2 linked regions of the Mus musculus genome follow. The protein of the gene in region 2 binds, or shares a complex with, the protein of the main gene of each other region. Links are inferred from orthologs where the notes say so. Each region holds a gene or a part of one and is shown on either strand. Other genes may lie near its edges.

Region 1 (4,119 bases), on a different chromosome or scaffold from region 2:
CCCTTGCTATGGCAAACATGGAGAACCTCTAACCACTGTATTTGTCTACACAGCAGCCATCCACACCAACTTTCTAGTAGGCAATTTGATCATGAGCTAGTCATTACTATTTACCTTCCAATGGTGTAGGAAGCACACCGACAATAGTCTCCTGTCTCTAAAGAGGTACCAATCTTTAGCTTAAAAAAACAAAATCAATATATCTTAAGCAGTGTTCCTAAAATTGGATATTACAATTTGACGGTAAGTTAGAATTTCTTTCATGGAGCTAGCCTGATCTTGGGAAGTAGTCCATAAATGTTTTGTCCAGCATGTGTGCAAAAATAAAGAGTTTTTAAAAACCCTCCATTTGGCTATGATGATTTTAACTCCCTCAAAAAAAAAAAAAACCTCCATTGTGATGTGATGTGCTATTAAGCATTAGGTGTGGTAGTGAGTATCTCACAGTTTTATTAACCATGGCCAAGTGTGAGCGTTTAACTACACTATTATATTTCACCTACAAACAGAACGAGAGCAGAGTCCCTAGCTGCCGAATGGTTTCTGAGGAGTAGTTCTATAATATGCAACAAAGAAAGAGTTAAAAACAGCTGTAAGGACAGCTTAGTGCTATTTTTATTCCGTCATTGTAGACTCAAGCATGGCTCATTTACTCTCTCTCAAAAGAGAAAATAGGTATTAAGCAACTTTAAAGAAAAAGTTGGCTCTGTTCCAAGACAGAAATTCTTATCCAAATAAATACAGTATGTAAGTGTGCTTTTTTTAAAAAAAAATTTCAGCTCATCTGTATTTATATTTGGATGTTAGGTAATTGAATTTCACACAAGTCTCAAAAATGAGGGAAAAGTCTCAAGACAATTTCGAGAAGTAAGCCAGCAGTGCACTCACTCTTGGGACAATGCTGCCTTATCTCCAGTACAATGCTCTACACAACTTGCCTTAGGAGATTCATAATAGAGTTTCATTTTCGTGCCAAGATCCAGACATGTCTAAAGTAATTTCATTTAAAGATTTTCTGCCGAACTAATAAGAATAGACCAGAAGCAGGCGCTGAACAGTCGCCTTTTTGTATACCCTCGGGAGTTTACAAGAAGCACCAGGAACCTGACTGTAAATATTAGGTAGATATTGCTGCTTCTCTTGTGAGGTGAGCAAGTCCTCCTAATGCCTTCTCCAGAGCCAAACGACTCATTTCTTAAACTTTATGGTTTTCCCATCTTGAACAGAGTCTGTGCTAAGAGAGCAGCCCTAGACGGTATTACATCGACATCGATGAGACAGACAGATTCAAGCATGCCTACTACTTCCCAAACACTGCGGCGATATTTTGCTGGTGTTCTTAGATGTATTCTTATCTCAAAGTCAAAATCACTCTTTAAGAAATCAAAAACTCAACCACCAGCTGAGAATGCCGAACTACAAGCTTTCAGACCACAATGCAAATATTTCGACTCCGGATTAAAGAACCGTTAGCAATAATTCCAGGAAAAAGAAAGTTTCCACGCCTAAAGTCCATTTTGGAGACAAGCACACCCGCCTTCCTGAATGGTATCGATACTAAAGTTGGACGTTTGCCATTAAAAAGTTGTTACTACTAAATTATATAATATGCTTTGTTATGTAACACAGTCCTGTTTTATATGCTTAAAATTATGTCATTCATAATAAAACTAGACACAACGTTTTTGCTTTTCACACACAGACTGCCACCCACATTTAGACATATCCACTCGCTTGTGTGCGCGCACACACACACACAGACACAGACACACAGACACACACACAGACACACACACAGACACACACAGACACACACAGACACACACAGAGGCACACAGACAGTTCCTGAATCCCCCAGTTTCCTGCTGAGTTTCAGAACCTCTCGGTGGATAAAGTAACTTTGGTGGTTCCCTGCAGACAGATATCTTGCCGGCCCAGGTTCTGAAAAAGACTCCCTCTTATGGAAAGGCACATCAAACTTGTTTCGTGCCTGTCCATTTTGGGGTCTCACCAGCTCTCTAGATGGCTTTCCTGGGCTCAGCCCCTTGCTAGCAGGTACCCCGTGACTGTGTCCAACTCAGGTTGGGACCATCAGGGACCCCTAGGCTTCCTCAGCATCGCCCGCCTCAGCTGGCGCTGGTCTTCCCCACCCCTCACCCCAGGAGGAAGACCGGTACTTACAGCCTGCGGCCAAGCCCCTCCACCGAACGCCCGCGGGAGGGCACGGAGTAGCTGAGCAGGAATACCAGGACACTCCACTGCTGAACCAGCCTCCGCAGCATCGTGCCGCTCGCTGGCTCTGGGGACCTGCAAGAGTGGAACCCGAGGGTCAGTCCCGGCTCTCCATCTCTTCCTCGCACTGCCCCGCTCCCTCTTTTGGAACCCCGTGGCTTCCCAACAGCCACTCCAAAGTCGAGGGCATCTCACAAGTTAGGAGGAAAAAAGAAAACAAGAAAAAGAAAGCAAAAAAGTGTCTCCGAGCCCCTGAGCACTTACTTGTGTAGGAATCAGCGCCTCTAACTGCGCCTCTCTCAAACCGCACAGGCAAAAAGGGACCCGAGAGGGGAAAAAGCAATCAGAGAGCTTCCTCTGAAAGAAGAGCGAAAACCGGGCGTTTTACATAGGCGTCGGGGATGCGTGGCGCGTTGCTGTGGCTCCCATAGCAATGTCTAATTAGTCTTGGCGGCAGCACTCTGGGTCGTGGGGCAGGTCAAACCCCTCTTCAAACGCGGGTGTTCCTCAGGAGTCAGCTGTCCTGCGCACCGGGCCTCTGGGTGCACAGCCACTTGCGGCAGAGCGCGTATATATACATAGCTGTCGGTCTACCTCCTTCGGTGGGCTGGTTGCTTCCGGAAAGTTGATTCCACAACGCCCTTGAACAAGTTGCAGGCGCGCGTGTCGTGGATGCGAGGGCCAGGTGGCCGCGAGGGCGGGTTCCGGCAGCGGGGCGGAGCGGCCCAGCTGGGGCGGCGCAGGTTGGAGAGTAGCTGTGAGCCCAGCCCTGGAAGGTTCACACGCTCCGGGGCCAACCTGCTGAGAAGTGAGCGAGTCGCAAAGAGGTGGCGCCCGAGGAACGCGCGCCGGCGGAGCAGGCAGGGGTGAGCGGGCCGGCGGGGGCGGGGAGCACAGGGGAGCCCGGAGCCACGGAGCCCCACCCCAGTCCTGGCCCGCGTGGGCCGATCTGACGCTCTCCTCCTCCTGAACCGGCCTGCTGTCGCCTGAGTGGCAGGTCCAGGAGTCCAGGTCCCTACAAACAGCAAGGAGGAACCCCGGGTGGCCTGAGAATCCCAAGAGTCCCAAGCTCGCTTGCAAGCTCGCATTGCACTGCATTCCTGCCTGGTGTGGCCTTCTCCTGGGGAGGGGACTAAACCTAGCACCCAGAAGAGCAAAGGCGATTTTGGGTCTTACTGTTTGGGAAGGGTTGGGGACATCACGTCTGGAGCAGGTCCTAGAACGGGTGTGTGAGCAAGGAAGAAGACCCACTTTGTGATCACAGACGACCTGGAATGCGCAGAGTCCTTCTTTCTCACCTTCTTCTGATAACCTACTCTATGTCCTGATAAAGATTCACTGAGTGCCCATTTGCTTCAGCTTCTCAGTGCTGCTGGGCAGGGAGTGGGGGTGGGGGGTGGGGGAGAAAGTTGTGAGTTACTGATTGTGGGTCTAGAGGTGTGTGTGTGTGTGTGTGTGTGTGTGTGTGTGTGTGTGTGTGTGTGAATACTAGTTTCCCCCCAGGTCCTAGATCACGCTGAAATGAACATGGGAACCACTCAAAGAAGTTTGCCTTCTAGACAATACTGCTGGAAAATTTCATCTGACTCTCTAGGAGGCTAGTGTCACTCAAAGACCTTTGTCAGACCTGGGCTGTGATGCTCTACAGACTTCTGGGGTGGGTACTCCTAGGACTTCTCACCCCTCCCCTCCCCTAAGCCTTGCTGCTCGCCAGCAGTTAAAGCTTTCAGCTGTCTTGGGCGGGGTTCCCTCTCATCAGAAGCCCTTGTCTCTTTCCCTTGATTCCTTTAAACTTCATACTTGTAAAAAAAAAAAAAAAGTTGGCTTCTTCCCACCTTAAAAAGAAACCCGGGAATTTCCATAACGTCCTTTAAGTGGTTAAGAATT
Region 2 (3,646 bases):
ACTTGCTGTCCTGCAGAGAGGATCCAGGTTTAGTCCCGAGCACCCACAGTTGGCTTACAACTACACGTAATTCCAGTTCCAGGGGTTGGAACCAGCCAGATACAAGGAATATATAAATGCATACAGACCAAACACTCATATACCTCAAGTATTTATACTGTGGATGCCTAGTCATCTGCCCAGCTCTCTAAGTGGCAGAATTCTTTTACTAAGGCCTACCATTTCCTATTCTTACACTCTTAAAAAAGGATTTTAGCCGGGTGATGGAAGCAGAGGCAGGCAGATCTCTGTGAGTTCAAGACCTGTCTCGTCTACAGACTGAGTTCTAAGACAGTCGGGGCTATATAGAAAAACTGTCTCAAACACACACAGACCACAGGATTTTAGCCCCACTCCTCCTTTCCCAAACTCTATCCCCAGTAAGTTACACAGCCTACAGAGTCAGCACAGAGGCTGCCTACCCCCTTTGGCTTTCATCCCTGTCTTTTTCCTTGTTATAAAAACAAAAAACCCCATTTAAACAAAGCTTTTCATCTAAAAACAAGCATAGGAGTACAGCAGGTGCAGTCCAAGTGCTCTGGGAACGAATCGGAGTACAGTTCCCTCTGGCTTCTCAAGACATTAAGAGACAGAACTCAGAGCACGCCTTTCAATGAGACAAGTAACCTTTCTCTCCCACACCTCCTAATGGCTCGGACAAGCTCCTGCCTTCACCAGGAAGAAAATCCCTTACCCAGCACACATTTGAAGCCACCCTGGGCTCAGCACTGAGGCCCTCAATCAGACACTGTAAAAGGGGTGCCAGGTAGACATCGTTGATGGCGGCTTCAGGCAGCAGCTCACAGATCCTGCCCACAGTCCACGCTGTTGTGTCTCGAACAACTACACTGGGGTCTTTCATTAGTTCTATTAGGGTGGGCATAGCCTGTAAATACAATAAAGCAAAACAAAAGGAATTCATAACGACTATCATTCAGAAGAAATACTCACGGGCATTGTGGCACATGCCTGTATCTGCAGCACTTGGGATCTAAGGGCAGCGAAGGGCACCCGTGGCTAGTATGTGTTATGTATGTACCAGGTTTGATGCCAGCCTGAGTTACAAAGACCTCATGTGAAATAGTAACAATCCCTGGCCCCATATAATGATAGAATGTTCTTAGATCCTTTGTAAAACAAAATAATAACAGTAAACAAAACAGTTTAAAATGTTCTTTCCCTTCACCAAATTCCATATATGATTCAAGATTGTAGTGGATACTTTCAAGCAGTCTATATGGAACAGGTAAAGACAAGAAGTGATCACAGTGGCACTGGCTTCTATCCTGACAGACTCAGTTCTTTATGCACAAAATTAAATTACCATGAGCTCTTCTGTCATTTATACCAGCAAAATAAAAATATTTCCATAAGAAAGACTACATTACATAATGTAAATTTTGTTCAAAGACTAGAATAATACCATTAAAAATTATAGAAATGGGGGGGTGAGCCTATCTACCCAACACTTGGGTAGTGGAAGTAGAAAAATCTGGAGTTCAAGGCCAGCATCACCCCACATCCTGATTTAAGGCCCAACACACAGGACCCTAAACAAACAAACAAACAAACAAACAAACAAACAAACACAGAGTAAATGGCTAAGCACTGCACAGTATAATTCCCATTTGCTTAGAAGGCTGAGTGAAGACATTCGTTGTGAGCCCTGGAGCTCAGAGCTAGTGGATATGGCAGCACTCACAGGCTGAGGCAGTAGGCTACCCTGGGATATATGTGGAGGCTCTCCAGTCCAAAAGCAACAGGAAAATGCTTACAATGTAGCATTTAAAAAAAAGAAAATAAGAAAAGATCCTGGTAAGACAATCTTCATAGTGAGAGCTCCATATCCTGCTCTCCAAAAATTACAGAAAACAAGTGCTAAGTTAAGAGATATAAGGTAAAGCCTTTTCTTTTTTTCAAGTTTCTTGGTCATGACTAAATTTTAAAAGTTATATATTTCACCATTAATGACAAGAAACTATACTAAGACAGGAAATGTATTGCATAGCATAGGATGGTCTCACTATTATCCAGTTAAGGGTGGCACCCTTGAGCAACTGACCTGTTAATCCCCACAAGAATGTGTGATTTGGGTTTGTAGGCCTGTGCTACGAACCATTCAATTATTTGGAAATCTTTGTGATTATTTAGAGTCACACATATATTACATGTGCGCACTCTCCACCCCCATTCCATTTCAAATCTAAAACTTCCCCGGGCTTTACCTGTATGACTAATGGTTTCAGTTGATTAGGCTCTGGTCCTTCCAAGATACTGCCAAAAGCCATCACTGCTGCATCCCGGTATCGCCAGTCAGGGTTCTTGATGTGCTCTTTAATAAAGGGAAGGACATGCGGCACAATGTCATCTTCACAGCAGGTGGACAGGAGCATGAGGCACACCCCAGCTGCTTTGCAAGGGTTCCAGTCATCGTCGTCATCGTTTTCATCCTGGTGACAGATGTGGCACTACGTAAGCTTTGCTTTGCTTTTTTTTTTTTTTTTTTTTTTTTTTGAGACAGGATTTCTCTGTGTAGCCCTGGCTGTCCTGCAACCAGGCTGGCCTCAAACTCAGAAATCCACCTGTCTCTGCCTCCCCAGTGCTGGGATTAAAGGCGTGCGCCACCACGCCCAGCCTAAGTAAGCTTTTCTTGCAATGAATTCACTTAGAAGGCTTGCTATATACTCCCAAGTATCATTAGAGCTTAATCAGGGAGTAAAATATAAAACACTGATTTAAAAAAACAAAAAACTTTTTTCACATTTCATCACAGCATAACCTACGTCACCCCAAGAAACAGATGGAAGAATACAATTATCATGTACAATAGAATTAAGAAACCTCCACTACCTATAAGAATGCCCAGGCTGGTGGAGCACACCTGTAAAAGTAAGACTTAAGAGCCTGAGGAAAGAGGACTATCTTAGTTTGAGACTAACCAGGTGTACAACGATCCTGTCTCAAACCAACAGCAGGTGGAAATGTAGCTGTTGGTAGAGGGCTTGCAAAGCCTGAGACTGGTTGTCAACAATACATATAGCAGCCATGCTACAACACCCCTGTAACTCCAACACTGGTAGGTGGAAAAAGGGTCAAAGTATATATCAAGTTTGAGATAAGCCTGTGATACATGCAACCCTGTCTCAAAAAAGAAAAAAAAAAAGTCTGTTCAGGAGGAAAAAATATAGCAAATATATTCAAAAGTAAAGGCATTCCTGGTAAGCATTGCAGATGCTGGAGAGATGTAGAGGGGCTTGTCTTCAATAGCTACTAGCTCCAGACCTGATACCCTCTCTAGGCCTCCAAGAATAGCAGCCACACAAATGGTGTACAGACATATGGAAGCAACACACACAGAGACATACATTTAAAAAAAAGGGTCAAAGCTATTAAACTTGCATATTCCTAACAAACTCTGAGACTGATATGCACCGAGAAACATGTACATTCCGGCACAGAATACTTCACAGCTCAGAGTCACACAGGACACTGCGAGATTCTCTTAGTAACAGTTCATAAACATGATAACAGGAAACAATGCAATGGATAAAGTGAGGAGAGCAGTGGTATAAAATCCAGTGCTCATGAGACCTCTGGCTGCCTTTAG

Evidence for each region. Proteins that work in one complex are often made in the same cells at the same time.
Region 1: the proteins of Kpnb1 (region 2) and Pthlh are in contact, whole or in part, in a crystal structure (PDB 1M5N), measured with the Homo sapiens proteins. The link is inferred for Mus musculus from reciprocal best matches to the Homo sapiens genes KPNB1 and PTHLH. Residues at the interface, in NP_002256.2 of Homo sapiens: Val55, Tyr104, Pro106, Gln111, Glu152, Tyr156, Gln159, Asn196, Leu199, Asn200, Gln239, Glu274, Gln278, Glu281, Asp288, Ile295, Ser298, Glu299, Asp339, Asp340, Trp342, Val350, Met353, Glu395, Trp430, Arg434, Glu437, Asn469, Trp472; in NP_945316.1 of Homo sapiens: Tyr103, Thr105, Gln106, Glu107, Thr108, Asn109, Lys110, Val111, Glu112, Thr113, Tyr114, Lys120, Thr121, Pro122, Gly123, Lys124, Lys125, Lys126, Lys127, Lys129.

What each region holds. Positions count from the first base shown.
Region 1 is NC_000072.6:147,261,089-147,265,207, forward strand, and holds the start of Pthlh (parathyroid hormone-related protein preproprotein), read right to left. Parts: upstream 2,926-4,119; 5' UTR 2,497-2,925; intron 2,308-2,496; 5' UTR 2,283-2,307; coding exon 2,182-2,282; intron 1-2,181. UniProt on the Homo sapiens protein: Neuroendocrine peptide which is a critical regulator of cellular and organ growth, development, migration, differentiation and survival and of epithelial calcium ion transport.
Region 2 is NC_000077.6:97,170,789-97,174,434, forward strand, and holds part of Kpnb1 (importin subunit beta-1), read right to left. Parts: intron 2,490-3,646; coding exon 2,265-2,489; intron 926-2,264; coding exon 734-925; intron 1-733.